2 linked regions of the Pelodiscus sinensis genome follow. The protein of the gene in region 1 interacts with the protein of each later gene in a pairwise test. Links are inferred from orthologs where the notes say so. Each region holds a gene or a part of one and is shown in the gene's direction. Other genes may lie near its edges.

Region 1 (7,871 bases):
CTTTAAGCACAAGCCTCAGCTAGCCTCAGGCAGCAGTTCCAGGAAGCGACTACTGTCCTGATGCCCCGGGGTTTTTTAAAGTCTCCAATCAGTATAATGTAGCACTTTAAAGACTAACAAGATGGTTTATTAGATGATGAGCTTTCGTGGGCCAGACCCACTTCCTCAGATCAAATAGTGGAAGAAAGTAGTCAGAACATGTAGCCGTGTTAGTCTGGGGTAGTTCCACTATTTGATCTGAGGAAGTGGGTCTGGCCCACGAAAGCTCATCATCTAATAAACCATCTTGTTAGTCTTTAAAGTGCTACATTGTCCTGCATTTTGCTTCAACTACCCCAGACTAACACGGCTACATTTCTATCACTATTCCAATCAGTATAGACGTTCTATTTTGAAACAGCACTATTTTGATGGGCATCTGTAGTGTGGACATGCTATTTCAAAATAAACTTTTTCAGAGGATTTTTCCTTGCTGAAATAGCTTATTTTGAAATAAGCATGCAGTGTAGACGTAGCCTATGACTCCAGTTCTGCAGGTGGCTGAGTGAGTAGATGTTTATGGTGTGTTTGGATAAATTATTTTGTTGATGAATAGCAGAGCAATTCCTCTGTTGAATTAAGGTATGACTTTCTGGCACACCAGGTAAAAGTATTTATTGCCCTGGGGAACTGCATTAATTTGTAATTATGTATTTCCTGTCTTTGGAATTACAGGCAGTCCCCGGGTTACGTACAAGATAGGGACTGTAGGTTTGTTCTTAAGTTGAATTTGTATGTAAGTCGGAACTCGTACATATTGTAGGGGAAACTCTAGCCAAACATTTCTCCAGAGCTCAGTTTTATTCTCCCACACCTCACTTCCCTCAGTCCTTTATTCTCAAGCTGAGGTATCTGCTGAGAAAAGCCACTCCGCGACTCCCTGGTCTGGTGGTGGTGGTGGTGGGGGGGGGTGCTAGCTTCGCGTCTCCCTGGTCTGCTGGGGGGAAGCAGCTAGTGTGGGGTTGCCTCACCCCGTTTGTAAGTAGGGATCCGATGTAAGTCGGATCCATGTAACCCGGGGGCTGCCTGTATTTTACACACAGCTTTTTTTTCTGTATTTGAAATTACAATACCTGTTCTCTATATCGTTATTCTTTCCTGTTTATACATAGAACTCTGTTCTGTGTAAGAGTCTCCACTGTTTTCTCATGGAAAATGAATTAATGGATTGACGAAAAAGCATTTTAAACTAAAAATTAGTCTGCATTTAAATGCCCCTTTTCATAATGAAATCTTTGGTAAATACTTTTATTTATAATACACTTATTCTGAACTTGTATTTAAAAAGAACTAAATTTGATTTAAAAAGAACTTCAGAACATTTTGGCCCTGTTTCCCCCAATCTCCTTTGGAAAAGTTTGGGAAGCAGAAGAGTTAGATGGGAGACTGAATATCAGAAATCCATTCTAAATCTTGGGCTTGACCATTATTCATGTATGAATGTGGGCAAGTTATTTAACTGCTCTGAGACTCGGATTCCCGTCTTTAAAAAATAGAGCTCTGGCCATACCTACCTTAGAGGGATGGCATAAGGCATTAATAAATTAATATTTCTGAAATATTTTGAGACAGTAACAATACCTAGTGCAAACATGCACAAATAATTCCCTAGAAACAAATCTTCTAATAGTGTGCATGCACACTAGCTGAAGATACATATGCACACTATTTGAAAAACAAGGAACTTGAATATTCGTGGTTGGCAGTAAGAGTGGAATACAGGGCTGCTCTCAAGCAGTGAGTGACAATATTGAATGAGTAAGACTTCAAGCGAGGGGGTGAGTTAGACTGGAAATGTCTCAAAGCAAAATATTCTTCCTCACAAGAAAGAGATACTTCAGTAAAATCCATTCAGAAATGAAGGCACCTCCCTGCATTTGTAAACGGAGCACGACTTCTCCAGTGAGGGCTGTGAAGAGTTAAATCAGACAGTTCCTAAGTGTTGTAGTCTATCCTCTTCTCTTCCCCACCCTGTTTTTTTCCTTTCTGTTCGCTCTCTCTCCTTCTAGTTTTGGCAGGGGATTAAAGTAGCTCCCCCCTGTGGCAGCAGTGACCCAGAAATGAGTTTGATTCACAGAGTCCTTCCTCCATAACAAGTAAAAACGTCAGTCAGTCTGTATGTGTGTGTGTGTGTGTGTGTGTGTGTGTGTGTGTGTGTGTGAAGGGAGCCACAATCTGCTCCCACTCTCCAGTGCTTGTCTGAACTCATGAGGCAGCACAGACCCCTTCGCGCAGAGAAACTCCAACCTCACTGGCAACCATCGCGGCAGCAGGAGCAGGTAACTGTGTCCAGATTCTGACTCTCCTCCACGCCGCCGCCGCAGAGTGAGCCGGGGGAACAGCCAGCACAGCCATATTTGATGGGTTTTTGTTGCTTTGCTTTGGAGTTCTCCAGAAGCAGCTAGAGAGCAATTTAATGCCGAAGGTCGCTGCCTAGTGGAAATAATATAGTACGTCATTAATATGGCGCCAAAAGATTTGCTTCTTGATATGGAGCGAGGGGAGGCAGTTGAGTTGCAGCTTCACTATCCCACAAGCAACTTGTGCATTGCTGGGGAGGGAGGGAGCGGTGGGAGGAGGAAATAGATGATTATTTTGCAGCTTTGAGAAACGATGTGATGTAAGGAGTGTTCTGCTAGCTGGTTTTCATTTTGCTGCAGACTTTGCAATGGCAAATAAGGCTCTTGCAGCTTTCAAGGTGCACCAGCTAAATCAACACAATACTGCACTGAGGGTTTTTAAAATTTGTATATGTATTTGACTTTGCTGTAGTTTTTTAAAAAAGAGAGTGGGGACGCGGGTATCTGAATTAATCAATGCTGGGTCAGCCTAGTTTAAAAGTAAAAAGCGTTGGATCAAGTTGGTAGACAGATGGCAATTGCAAAGCGCAGGTCCTTTTAGATATAGACGCTATAGAAAGGGGGAGGGGTGGTCGTAGTCAGAATCTGTCACCGTGTCGCCCACATGTCCAAAATATCCGTTGCATCAATTCAAGGGCAGTAAGGGTGTGTGTTATGTGCAGGCAGCTTTGCAATTACATTCATGCAAATTGTGTTTGGATTTCACTTGCTGTAGTTAAAAAAAAAATGCTCGCAAAGTATAAAAACCGTTCACCGGAGAAAATAGGCAGAAGTTTCCTATTGGGGTAGGAGAGTGTTGGCCGGTTAGTCCTGAACTAGACGCGATTGTGATTTTAGGCACTAATGGACATGTGTGGAGGGGGAGGCTTTTAGTACACTGCTATAGTAGAGCCGTTTATTTTCAACTGAGTCCGAGTGTACAGTAGCTCCTGCTGGAGAGCAAGTTGTAACAGCCCTGAAGTGCACGTGTTGGGAGAGTGTGAGTGTACGGAGGGAAGGGGTGTGTTGTGTGTGTCTGAGGGAGGAGGGGGCGGTTGTTTGGCTGCTCGGGCTCTGCTGGGTGGCAGCAGCTTCTGTGCCGCTGGCGAGAGCGATGAATGCGGGCCAGGGCCGGAATGTGGAATGTTGACCCCAGATTCGAATCCCTTCGGAACGGTCTCACTGGCTGCGGAGATTGTCCCCCCCCCCCCCCCCGCGGGAGGGAGGCGGGGTTTGCTTCATCGGGCGCCTCCGGGCTGGGTGTGGGAGGGGGGACGGGAAGGGGCAGAAGGAAGCAGGTGCACGGAGGCAACAAGAACCGGCCGGGAGGCTTAGGAACCTCCCCATCCAAAGCGATGCTCCCCAGCCCCCTCCCGCTGGGGGCCGGCGAGTTGAGATCCGTGCGGGGTTCCACGGCCCAAGCAAACACGTGCGGGTGCTCGAGAGGAACTTCTGCGAGCCATGTTTTGTTCCTTAAGAGACCGAGGGCTAAATTCTGCCCACAACTACCCCGTGCAATCGCACCGAGACAGCAGTGCCCACTTGCGCTGTGAGGAGCTGGCAATTGAGTAACGTAGGTCCTATTATGGGCACTGTCGGATTAAATCATTGGGGTGGCACATTAATTTCCCAAGTACTACGGTGATGGATAATCAATACAATGAGTGGCAATAGGGTTTACGGATGAAGTTCTTAAATCTCCTAAATGATGCTGACATGCACTTATGATGATATACGAATGAAACCAGGGGGTGGTGCAAAATGTCTGAGGGATTGCACAGGTGTAAGGGAGACTTTGGCTCTTAATATCCCCCCCTCTTCCTTTACCAAGGTCTTTACAAGGAAAATGGGACTAGGTTATGGTCTTTTCAAATAACCGCATCATTTCGCTCTAACGGGCTATCCTTGGCGTCCCCAGAGGAGAAGGCAAGAGTGCAGCGCAGGCGATTATTCCAGTTGCTGAAATTAGACAAAGCCGCCCTGCTGCACTCGTATCCCTGGACTCTGCTCGTTACATGCTCAGATTTTGCAGATTGTCAGGCTTCGGGTCTTGATTTTTTTCTTGCCAGTGTTCATTAGCGCCAGCATTCATTAGCAGTTTATGGCGCGGATTTTATTATTTTGACGAGGGTGGTGGTAGGAGATGTGTGTTTGTTTGCACCGCCTGCTGGATGGTTTCCTATGACAAGAGGTGATACACAGTTTCCAGAACTGTCTGGGAGTGGGAGGAGAGACCGACAGAAAGCAACCTCAAGTCTTAGTGCTGCTGCTATTCAATCCTAGTCTAAACCGTCCCCCATCTCACCCTCCCCAGACATTGCAACATGGAGAGCGGGGGGTGGAGATGGGGAGGGTTGCTTGGCCGTAGAAATGATATGGATTTGGGAGCTGAGCTGAGGGCATCAAGTTTGATTTGCAGCTGAGGCTGAGCGGATTGGTGCATCTGGTGGGAGGGGAGGAGCACAGGAGGAGGGTAGGCGGGGGAGATCTGGTCAGTTTCAAATGGAGACAGACGGGGAGGTGTACGTAAAATGGGATTTTTGCCTGCTGTGCAAAAGGTGCCATAATCGCAAAAAGGGGTTAGTCCGGCGACAGCAGCGCAGCTGGGGGCAGGAGTTAAGTGTGATACTTGTTCCTTCCCGGCTTCTCCACCTCTCTCCTCAGTCTTTGTTCGTGTCTGATGCCTCCGGACCTCTCAGTACGAGCAGCTTCAGCGGCGGCGCTGCGAGCCCTCGGCACCGGTATTGCTAAGGCTGGCGATAAATGAGCCCTGTGTTGTGTGGATCGGAAAAACTGGGCGGGTTTAAGAGACATGACTACCTCTTAGCACTGCTGTCTCAGCATGCTGGGGAGCTAGGAGTGGGAACATATATTTGAACCAGGAGGATCTGAAAAATAGAGAGTCCGAGATTTAAAGAATACAAGTAACAAAAATGCTTATTTACCTGAAAAACAGACTTTAAGCATGGCCTTAAAATAAGCCTCCCAAATGAGGAAGCCTTTCAGTAAGGAAAGCAGTTCTAGCTTTCCAGTTCATTATTGCAGCAGTGACTACTTGTTTTGATCAATATGCAAATTAACAATAGTAGGTGATTTTTTTTTTAGAATTATTTAGTTTTCAAGAGCACTTTGAGAATTAAGGTGTTGGTATGGGATAGGTGGTTTGGAACAAATTGATAAATTAAACAAGCAATAAGTTATGGGAGGAGATGGTATTCACCCAACAGTCCTGAAGGAACTGGGTATGAAATTGCAGAACTATTATTTGTAAGATGTAACCTGTTAAATCAGTCTCTACCAGATGATTGGAGGCTAGCCAATATATTGTTGATTAAAACAATTTTTTTGTGATGATCCTGGTAATTAGAGAGCAGGAAGGCTAACTTATGTACCAGGCAAATCAGTTGAAATCAGAGTAAAGTTGATCAGACACACAGGTGAACTGGGTATATTGATTAGGAATCAACAGGGCTTTCCTAAATTATAAGGAATGATTTGTCATCTATTAGAACTTTCCCCAATTATTAGCTATGTACAAGCATGTGGACAAAGGCCATACAGTTATATAGAGTACCTGGGTTTTTACAAATACTAACAAACTAAGTAGTCCATAGGATGAGAGGGAAGGACATCTCATGGATCAGAACGTGGTTAAAAATAGGAAACAAAGGGGTAGGAATATTAATTGTTAGCGCAGTAGAGAGAGAGATAAATAGTGGGGCCTTCCAAAGATATGTATTTGAACCTGTTCTGTCATCATATTCGTTAATGTATTGGAAAAAAGGAGATGAGAAGTGAGGTGACAAAATTTGCAGATGATGCAAACATTTCAAAGCTGACTGCAAAGAGTTACCAAAGGATTTTACTAACCTGAGTGATAAGATGGCAGATTTATATGCAACTTTGTGTATTTTGAAAGCTTGTATCTCTCATCATCAGAAGTTGGTTCAATAAAAGATATTACCTCACCCACCTTATCTCTGTGAAATTGCAGCTGAAATTCACTGTTAGTAAATGGAAAGTAAAGCACATTGGAAAAAATCATCTCAGTGAGATACACAAAATGATGGCATTTAAATTAGCTGTTACTACTGAAAGAAAGAGATCTTGAAGTCATTGTAAATAGCTTTATGAAAACATTCAGTCAGTGTGCAGTAGCAGCCAGTAACGGGGGAAAAATGTTACAGAAAATATTGTAATGACACCAACTGAATCTGTGGTACACTAATATCTTGAATATGGTGTGGAGTTCTGGTTGCCCCTTCTAAAAGATATTTGTTAGAAATGGTGAAGGTATAGAGAAGGACAACAAAAATGATTGAGATATTGAAATAGCTTCCATAGAAAGAGATCTTGATATGGACTGGGGACTGTTCATCTTAGAAAAGAGATGACTGAGGGGTGACATGAATGGTGTGGAGAAAGCAAGAAACGAGTGTTGCTCACTCTTTCCATGCAACACAAAAACCAGGGGTCACCAGATGAAACAAGGCCACAAGTTTAAAACAAACACAAGGAAATAATTCTTCACACAATGCACTGTCAACCTGTGGAACTTGTTTCCAGGCTATGTTATAAAGGCCAAAGCTGTAACAGGGTTAAAAAAGGAATTACATATGTTCATGGAGGACAGGCCCATCAGTGCTTATTAGCCTAAATGGCCAGGGATTCAGTCCCATGCTCTACATATTCCTGAATCTCCAACTGCCAGAAGCTGGACATGGATGACAGGCTAGATAAGTTGATAATTGTCAGGTTTTGTTCATTCTCTCTGAAGCACCTGGTATTGGCCATTGTCAATAGACAGTACGCTGGGCCAGATGGACCTTTGGTCTGAACTAGTGTTGCCTTTTTATGGGAATAAATATACCTATGATTAATTCTTCATCTGCAGGCCCTTTCTTAGTAATAATTCTTCTAATAAAAATGATTGTAATGCCAGCAAACGGAATCTATGCTAGATTTTCAGACTTGTCACTCATCAAATAATAATGGGCCATGCCTTGACATAAATGATTAGTTTATGTAGCCACGTGAAAGTTTTAAGCATAGATATCTGCCCTTTTGGGGAGTTGTTACATTAGAAGCTATGGTAATTGTACAGCAAACTACCAACAGTTGTTTTCTGTTCATTTTTAATTTTAACTTTTATTTTAAATAAAAGCTAAAACAGCCTATTTGGCACATCCATTTCCAAATAAAGAGATTTTACTGTGTTTTAGATTAACTCTTTTGCAAGTAGTTCTTCTTTTGTAAATAAGCATGCTTGCAAACATAAGACCTTAATAAACATTACACTAAAATATGTTTGGTACGATTCTGTTTCTAGAGCTTTTCATACTCAGTGGAATATTCTCTCCAAATTGCAAGAGTGTGCATTTTAGTGACAGGATTCTCCCTGAAGAAGCAGATTCTCCACCACTGCTGATTTGAAGCTATGTTTCATATATATGTCTCCAATAAAATAATAGCTGTAAATTTCCCTTCTAGCTT
Region 2 (7,594 bases), on another chromosome or scaffold:
TACCCTATGGCCTGTGTTATACATTGGCAGCATTCAAATTTTATTTTATTATTTGGATGGATAATATTGCTGCTTGCTTTTAAACATTTTCCCCAGTTTTTATCTAATTAAATGTTCACTGTTATAGGAATGTAACCCTTCTGTCGGGTAGGGCCGGGTTCAATATATAGGGGTCCATCCCACACAGAACCAGCTCGAGCCCCACCCAGTAGCCTAGGAAATTCACACACCCCTGGGCGTCTTTGAGAGGCAATGCTTCCCCACTCGCAAGCACAGAGTCTGAGGCTACGTCCAGACTGGCATGATTTTCCGCAAATGCTTTTAACAGAAAAATTTTCCGTTAAAAGCATTTGCAGAAAAGAGCGTCTAGATTGGCACGGATGCTTTTCCGCAAAAGCATTTTTTGCGGAAAAGTGTCCGTGCCAATCTAGATGCACTTTTGCGCAAAAAAGCCCCGATTGCCATTTTCAGAATCGGAGCTTTTTTGCGCAAAACAAATCTGAGCTGTCTACTCTGGCCCTTTTGCACAAAAAGACTTTTGCCCGAACGGGAGCAGCATAGTATTTCTGCAAGAAGCACTGATTTCTTACATGAGATCATCAGTGTTCTTGTGGAAATTCAAGTGGTCAGTGTAGACAGCTGGCTGCTTTTGCGGAAAAACTTGCCAGTCTAGGTACAGCCTGAGTGTAGAAAAGAAACTTTTAATGAAAGAGAGAGAAAAGTCACATGGCATTAACTTGGGAAAATACCACAAACAGAGTTCATAACCCCCCACGAGTAACCATCCCATCTCCAAGGGATTGAGCAATGTCCTTTGCCCTCAGGCTCACCAGTCATTGGCTGTGTCTAGACTGCATCCCTTTTTCGTAAAAGGGATGCAAATTAGACATATCGCAATTGCAAATGAAGCGGGGATTTAAATCCCCCCTGCTTCATTAGCATAAAAATGGCTGCCGCTTTTTCCCGGCTCGGAGCTTTGCCGGAAAAAAGCGCCAGTCTAGATGCGGATCTTTCGGGAAATAAAGCCTTTTCTGAAAGATCCCTTATCCCTCTTAAAATAAGGAATAAGGGATCTTTCAGAAAAGGCTTTATTTTCCAAAAGATCCGCATCTAGACTGGCACTTTTTTCCGGCAAAGCTCCGAGCCGGAAAAAAGCGGCAGCCATTTTTATGCTAATGAAGCGAGGGGGATTTAAATCCCCCCTTCATTTGCAATTGCGATATGTCTAATTTGCATCCCTTTTATGGAAAAGGGATGCAGTCTAGACACAGCCCATCAGTGTAAGGGTCCCATTCACTTACCCAAACTTTCTCCCTACCCCACTTCAAATGCCCTACTTACAGCTCTGTCCAGTCAGTGCGGACTCTGACACATCACCCTGATGACTCCACTCATTGAGCCTGAGGCCATGCCACCTTTGAGCTGCTCCTGTGGTCCGCTTGTGCCGCCTGCCACCAGGCCTACCGGCCACCCACTGGTCACTCCCGCCGGCAGCCCAGCTGGCTGCTGCTCCTACCAACCGCCCCACTGGCCGCCCGCCATTCCCGCCAACTACCCATTCCCACCAGCCGCTCCTACTGGCCATCCGCCAGTCATTCCCACTAGCCACCCCGCTGGCCTCCCGTTCCCGCCAGCTGCTCTGCTGGCCACCCTCTGGTCATTCCCGCCAGCCGTTCCACTGGCTGCAGTGGGTCTGGCTGTAGGCCAAACCAGTGACTTCAGCTCTTAGTCTATGTCTACACTCATGGCTTCTTGCGCAAGATCATCTTGGCTGTGTCTAGACTGGCAAATTTTTCCAGAAAAACTTGCCAGCTGTCTACACTGGCTGCTTGAATTTCCACAAGAACACTGACAATCTCATGTAAGAAATCAGTGCTTCTTGCAGAAATACTATGCTGCTCCCGTTCAGGCAAAAGTCCTTTTGTACAAAGCTTTTGTGCAAAAGAGCCAGTGTAGACAGCTCAGATTTGTTTTGTGCAAAAAAGCCCCAATCGCAAAAATGGCAATCGGGTCTTTTTTGCAGAAAAGTGCATCTAGATTGGCCACAGATGCTTTTGCACAAAAATGCTTTTGCAGAAAAGCACCTGTGCCCATCTAGATGCTCTTTTCCACAAATGCTTTTAACGGAAAACTTTTCCATTAAAAGTATTTGCAAAAAATCATGCCAGTCTAGACATAGCCAGGGGAAAGAGGCAGGTTGAACCAGTCTTACAATTCACAACTGGCAGGCATGAGCAGGCTGGCTCAAGCTCCCCCCCCCCCCCCCCCCCCACTCAACTCTGGAAGGGGGAGGCTTGTTCATCTGAGACCCCTTGCAGTGATGGTGGGTCTCCTGTAAGCACTGGTGTCATATTTTACAGTTCCCACATTTAGGGGTAGCATGATTTGTGACCCCCACAACAGCCCAAATTAGTTACAATACATCACATTCCATTCCAACAACTGATCCTCCATCAGCCTTGGCTGAATTGGATTTACATAACCACACCTCAGATTCCTTCCCCATCCTGGCATGAGCTGTATTCACATATCAACAGTTAACAGTTAATTATCTTGCAGAGCTAAACAATTTGGCTACATCTATACTGCAGGCTTCTTGTGCAAGAACTGTTTTGCGGAAGAGTTCTTGTGCAAAAGGTCTTTCACAAGAGTGCGTCCACACTGCCATGTGCTTTTGCACAAGAGCGTCCATGGCAGTGTGGATGCTCTCTTGCGCAAGAAAGCTCTGATGGCCATTTTAGCCATAGGGGTTTCTTGCGCAAGAAATTAATGTTGCCTGTCTACACTGCCTTCTTGTGGAAGAGATTTCGCGCAAGAAGGCTTATTCCTCATGGGGAGAAATAACTCTTCCAGAAGAAGCCCTGTTTTCCGAAACTGTACTGTAAATTTACTTGCACAAGAATGCACATGCAGTGTAGACGGTCTGTAAGTTTTTGTGCAAGAACATCTGTTCTTGCACAAAAAGCCAGCAGTGTAGACATAGCCTTTGAGTGAGCACACCCACCCCCAGGGCAGCTCTCTCCTTTTAGCTGGCTGATAGCAAGGAGTAGTTTAGCCCTTGCTTACAGGAAACAATAATTATTTAAGGACAATAGATGTTGAGAGTCAAAAAGTTAAAGCTTTATAATCATGAGAGCACAAATTGTCAACATCCCATGTAAGTATCCTTACATCAAACTAAATTCTTGAGTAGCTTTTTTTGTACTTTGCCTGGCTGTAGGTTTTGATTATTATTCATAGACATCTTTTTTGTCCTTGTGGATACTGTGAAATCAACATTTACCAATAAAAAATTGAATCCCTGCAAGCTTAACTAGGCAGGAGTCAGACTAGATTGGGGTGGGCAATAGGTGGCCCACAGGCTGGACGTGGTTCGTCAGGCTTAGCCCCTGGCGGCCACCAGACACTTCATTCACCAGCTCATGCACAAGTATGGCCACTTGCAGCTCCCGTTGGTGGGGTTCACCATTTCCAGTCAATGGGAGCTGCTAGAAGCTCGGAAGGCTAAACCACCATTACCCACAGCTCCCATTGGCTGGGAACAGCAAACCTCAGCCAATGGGAGCTGCAAGCAACCGTACCTATGGACATGAGGGAAATAAATAAAACATCTGGCAGCTTGCCAGGGGCTAACCCGGGTGAACCACATCCGGCCCAAAGGCTGCTTATTCACCCCTGGATTAGATTATCACAGTGGTCCTGCCTAGCCTTAGTGATGACATATATTTGAAGCCAGGCTTTCATTTGGGAACATGTTCAGCCGTGTTGCCAACTCTTGCAATTTTATCACACAGCTTGCTTTCATGAGATTTCCTTGATTGCTTTTGAAAGCCCCAGCAGCTGTAGTAATGAGCACACACAAGACTCTTGGCTTTAATTTTTGTAAGAAAGTTTATAGGTCCTCATGGCTGTAAAGTTTGAGAATGAGACCCAAGTACATCCGAAAGGCTCACAAGCCAGAAGGCAAATGAAAATGTATTTTTTTTAAAATAATCTCAAGATTTTTAGACCCTCCGTTGTGATTTTGGAAGATGATAGGCAACAATAGAATTTGTAGAACCAGATAACGGTTAGACGATGGGATTGTGTAGAACCAGATAACGGCAGGAGCATGTGTAGGAAGCTGGAGAAATGTTGTAGCATGCTCTTTTAAGGGGCAGAGAGAGCTCTTGCAGTGAAGCCGGGCCCTTTTATCCCTGTCATGCTGAATGTGAGGTCTGTCTGGCATTGCACCATAAACCCCACATCACTCCATATTTCCTTGCCATGGGCAAACTCGGGAGCAGGCGGCTTGTTGCCTGGCTTTTCTGTATACCACAGAGGAGGTGGCTAAATGCCCTGGGAAAGCAGTCTCTAGGCGTAGCCAATGCACCGAAACCCCGAGAGCCTCTAATGCTGAGGCACCTTCTCGCTAGAGGGTCTGGTTAGGACACAGCTCCACCCGGAACCCTTCTCGTCAGGGCTTTGCGTGTAGACGGGCTTCTTTAGTGGCCGCGCACGAGCCCAGTGGGCGGGATTAGATCGTGAGGGGCGGCAGCGAGAGCCAATAGAGAATAAGGATTTTCGGCGTCCTCTTGTTTCCGACCAATGGGAGGGTGAGGGGGTGGCTCCAGGAAGTGCCCGTTGCGCTGCGGCGGAGGGGAAGAATTAGCGGGACGGCCCGAGCTGGGCACAGACCGGGGGCAAAATGTCGGAGAGGAAGGTTTTGAATGTGAGTAGGGGGCGGGCGGCGGCCTGGCCTGGAGACGCGGGGAGGGGCCCCATAGTGGGGGAGGGGGCTGGGGGGGGAGGGAAGAGGGGAAGACCCGTTGGGGGACGTAATGGGGGGGAGGGGACAGTGGAAGGGCCAGGGGGTCCGTATTGGGGGGAGGGGCATGGGGGTCCTGTAGTGGGGGAGGGGAAAACCGGGGAGGCCATAGTGGGGGAGACATGGGGGGGTCCTGTAGTGGGGGAGGGGAAAGCCGGGGAGGCCGTAGTGGGGGAGACATGGGGGGGTCCTGTAGTGGGGGAGGGGAAAACCGGGGTGGCTGTAGTGGGGGAGACATAGGGGGTCCTGTAGTGGGGGAGGGGGCAGCTACATCTGTGCTTCTGGGAGGCCTTTATAAGTTTTGTGCGTGGGAGGCAATGGGCAGATTCCTAATGTGAGCGCGACATTGGCCCTGCTCTGATTCTCTGTGGATCCCAAAGTGCAGGAGCAAAGTCCTCTCATGTCACCCTCCCCATGTTAGGCTTTGTTCCCTCCCAGCTGATGCCTGTCTGCTTTGTTCTTGTAGAAATACTACCCGCCAGACTTCGATCCATCTAAAATCCCAAAGCTCAAGCTCCCAAAGGATCGTCAATATGTTGTGCGGTTGATGGCTCCATTCAACATGAGGTGAGAGGGCCTACGGGAACTGCGTTCTGTCACAAGAGTTTGGCGTGTTACCTAGCATATCCCTGCCGTGGTTTCTTACTATGTTTCCATCGAGCTGACCTGACTATATGTTGGAGTGGAGAGTGAATCCAGCTACTTGCAGAATGTACTGACCGGATTTTGTTAATAAGGAATGCTTTTGAGGCTTTAGTTGATTTCCTTTGAGCAACTTCCTGTGTGCACCAGAATATTTACAATTTACTCCTTTTGTGGGGCAGACCAACCTTGTATAGCTGTAAACTAAATAGCCGAATATCCTCTAGAGTGGCATAATTTAGACACCCCAACGGCTATATGTGCATACATAGCCAGATGCTTAAATAGTAAGGCTGAGCAAATGTTCAGCTGCTGCACTTGTAAGGGTCTTTCAAGCAGGCTTGAAGGCAGCGTGACCAGACTCAAGTCCAGCCAGCCATTTGCTTGTGATTGATGCATCTGCCTCTTCAGATTCAGCTTCCATGTTGCTATAAAACACCTCACCAAAAACAGGTGGATAGAAAAGAATGGGGTAGTGGATAAAACACTGCATCATGACTCAGGAGATCTGAGTTCAATTCCTGCCTTGCCTCCTTCTGTCAGCTTGGGCAAGTTACCCAATCGGTCGTTTGCCTCAGTCCTTTGTTTTTTTAATTCATAGCAGTTCATATCTGTCCACTAATAATCTCTCTCTGAATAAAAAAGTTGTTCCTGCCAGATGGCAGAATGACATCATCAGCATCAACAGGCTCTCTCAGTGAAGTGAAAGTGGCCAGAAGGGTGGGGAGGGGGAAGTAGGTCATATAAGTACCTAAATATCCAGAGTGTGCAGGTGAGCACCCCACCCCCCAACTATTATGTGAGAGGGAGGGAAGTGTCAATCAACAGAAGTAACACTGATCAAAAATTAAATGGAAAAATTAGCTATGTATCTAATGTCTTTCTGTTTTGGTCATCTTAAAGGTTATGTATAACAAGAATAGGTACAAAATGATCAAGTGGGAATGTGATTCTCAATTTGACACTGCCTACGAAAATTGGGCTTAGCTCCTTTGTATGTCAGACTCTTGTCTTTCTCTAGTTTCAGGGGGCTAACCATGTTCATTTGTTTCAGCAAACACAACAGGTCCTGTGGAACTGTAAATACTTAACACATTTATTTACTAACAAAGCTATTTGGGCATAAGCTTTTGTGGGCTGAAACCCACTTTGTCAGATGCACTGAAGTTTCCTGCCCACAAAAGCATGTGCCCAAATAAATTTGTTAGTCTTTAAGGTATCACTGGACTCCTTGTTGTTTTTTCTCTAGTTTTCTTTTATATGTTGTCAACGTAATTCACTTTCCGTTTGCTTCACGTAGGTGCAAGACATGTGGCGAGTACATCTATAAAGGCAAGAAATTTAATGCTCGCAAGGAGACGGTTCAGAATGAAGTGTACTTGGGGCTTCCCATCTTTCGCTTCTACATCAAGTGCACCCGCTGCCTGGCAGAAATCACATTCAAGGTGGAGATTTTGAATGTTCTGTATCAGCTGGACTCTCTGTGGAGGCAGCATGGTCTAGAGATTGAGGCACTGTGTGTCAGGAGACTTCAGTCCTAGGCCTAGATGGCACCCAACAAATACTGCTGTTTTAAGATAATCATAGGTCAAATTTGATCTTTGTTCCCTTTACAACAAACAGTGAAGTGTCCCATTCATAGTTTGAATAGTGCACTATTATTGGTCAAATGATGAGTGTTTCTAGGGCTTAATTATTATTTTGGCAGGAGCAGGGATGTGACTAAAACAAGGTTGAAATGCTTTGTGTAGCTTCATGTGTTGCTTTGAAAGTCACCCTGGCCATTTATAACCAGCCCAGAATACATTAAGAATGACTGGAGCAATAGCAGCCTGTCTTGCATGTGGCACACTTGCAATAATTCCCTTATGCTGCTCATGTCTTCCTCAGACGGATCCTGAGAACACAGACTATACCATGGAGCATGGCGCCACTCGGAACTTCCAAGCAGAGAAGCTGTTGGAGGAAGAGGAGAAGAGGGTGCAGAAGGAGAGAGAGGAGGAAGAGCTGAACAATCCCATGAAGGTATTTGAATGTGCCCTTTCCCCCATGGTGAATGGGCAACTTAGATTAGCAAGTCACAGGCCACTTGTTTTTCGGTGCATGGTAGGAAGCTACTGCCCCGGTTCTGCAGCAACCGTTTGG

What was found.
Region 2: the proteins of JADE1 (region 1) and YJU2 interact in a two-hybrid assay, tested with the Homo sapiens proteins (2 studies listed by BioGRID and IntAct). The two-hybrid records come from large-scale screens. The link is inferred for Pelodiscus sinensis from reciprocal best matches to the Homo sapiens genes JADE1 and YJU2.

Annotation. Positions count from the first base shown.
Region 1 is NC_134715.1:50,834,075-50,841,945, reverse strand, and holds the start of JADE1 (protein Jade-1), read left to right. Parts: upstream 1-4,858; 5' UTR 4,859-5,058; coding exon 5,059-5,119; intron 5,120-7,871.
Region 2 is NC_134729.1:22,304,605-22,312,198, forward strand, and holds the start of YJU2 (splicing factor YJU2), read left to right. Parts: upstream 1-4,588; 5' UTR 4,589-4,687; coding exon 4,688-4,711; intron 4,712-5,273; coding exon 5,274-5,374; intron 5,375-6,749; coding exon 6,750-6,894; intron 6,895-7,339; coding exon 7,340-7,474; intron 7,475-7,594.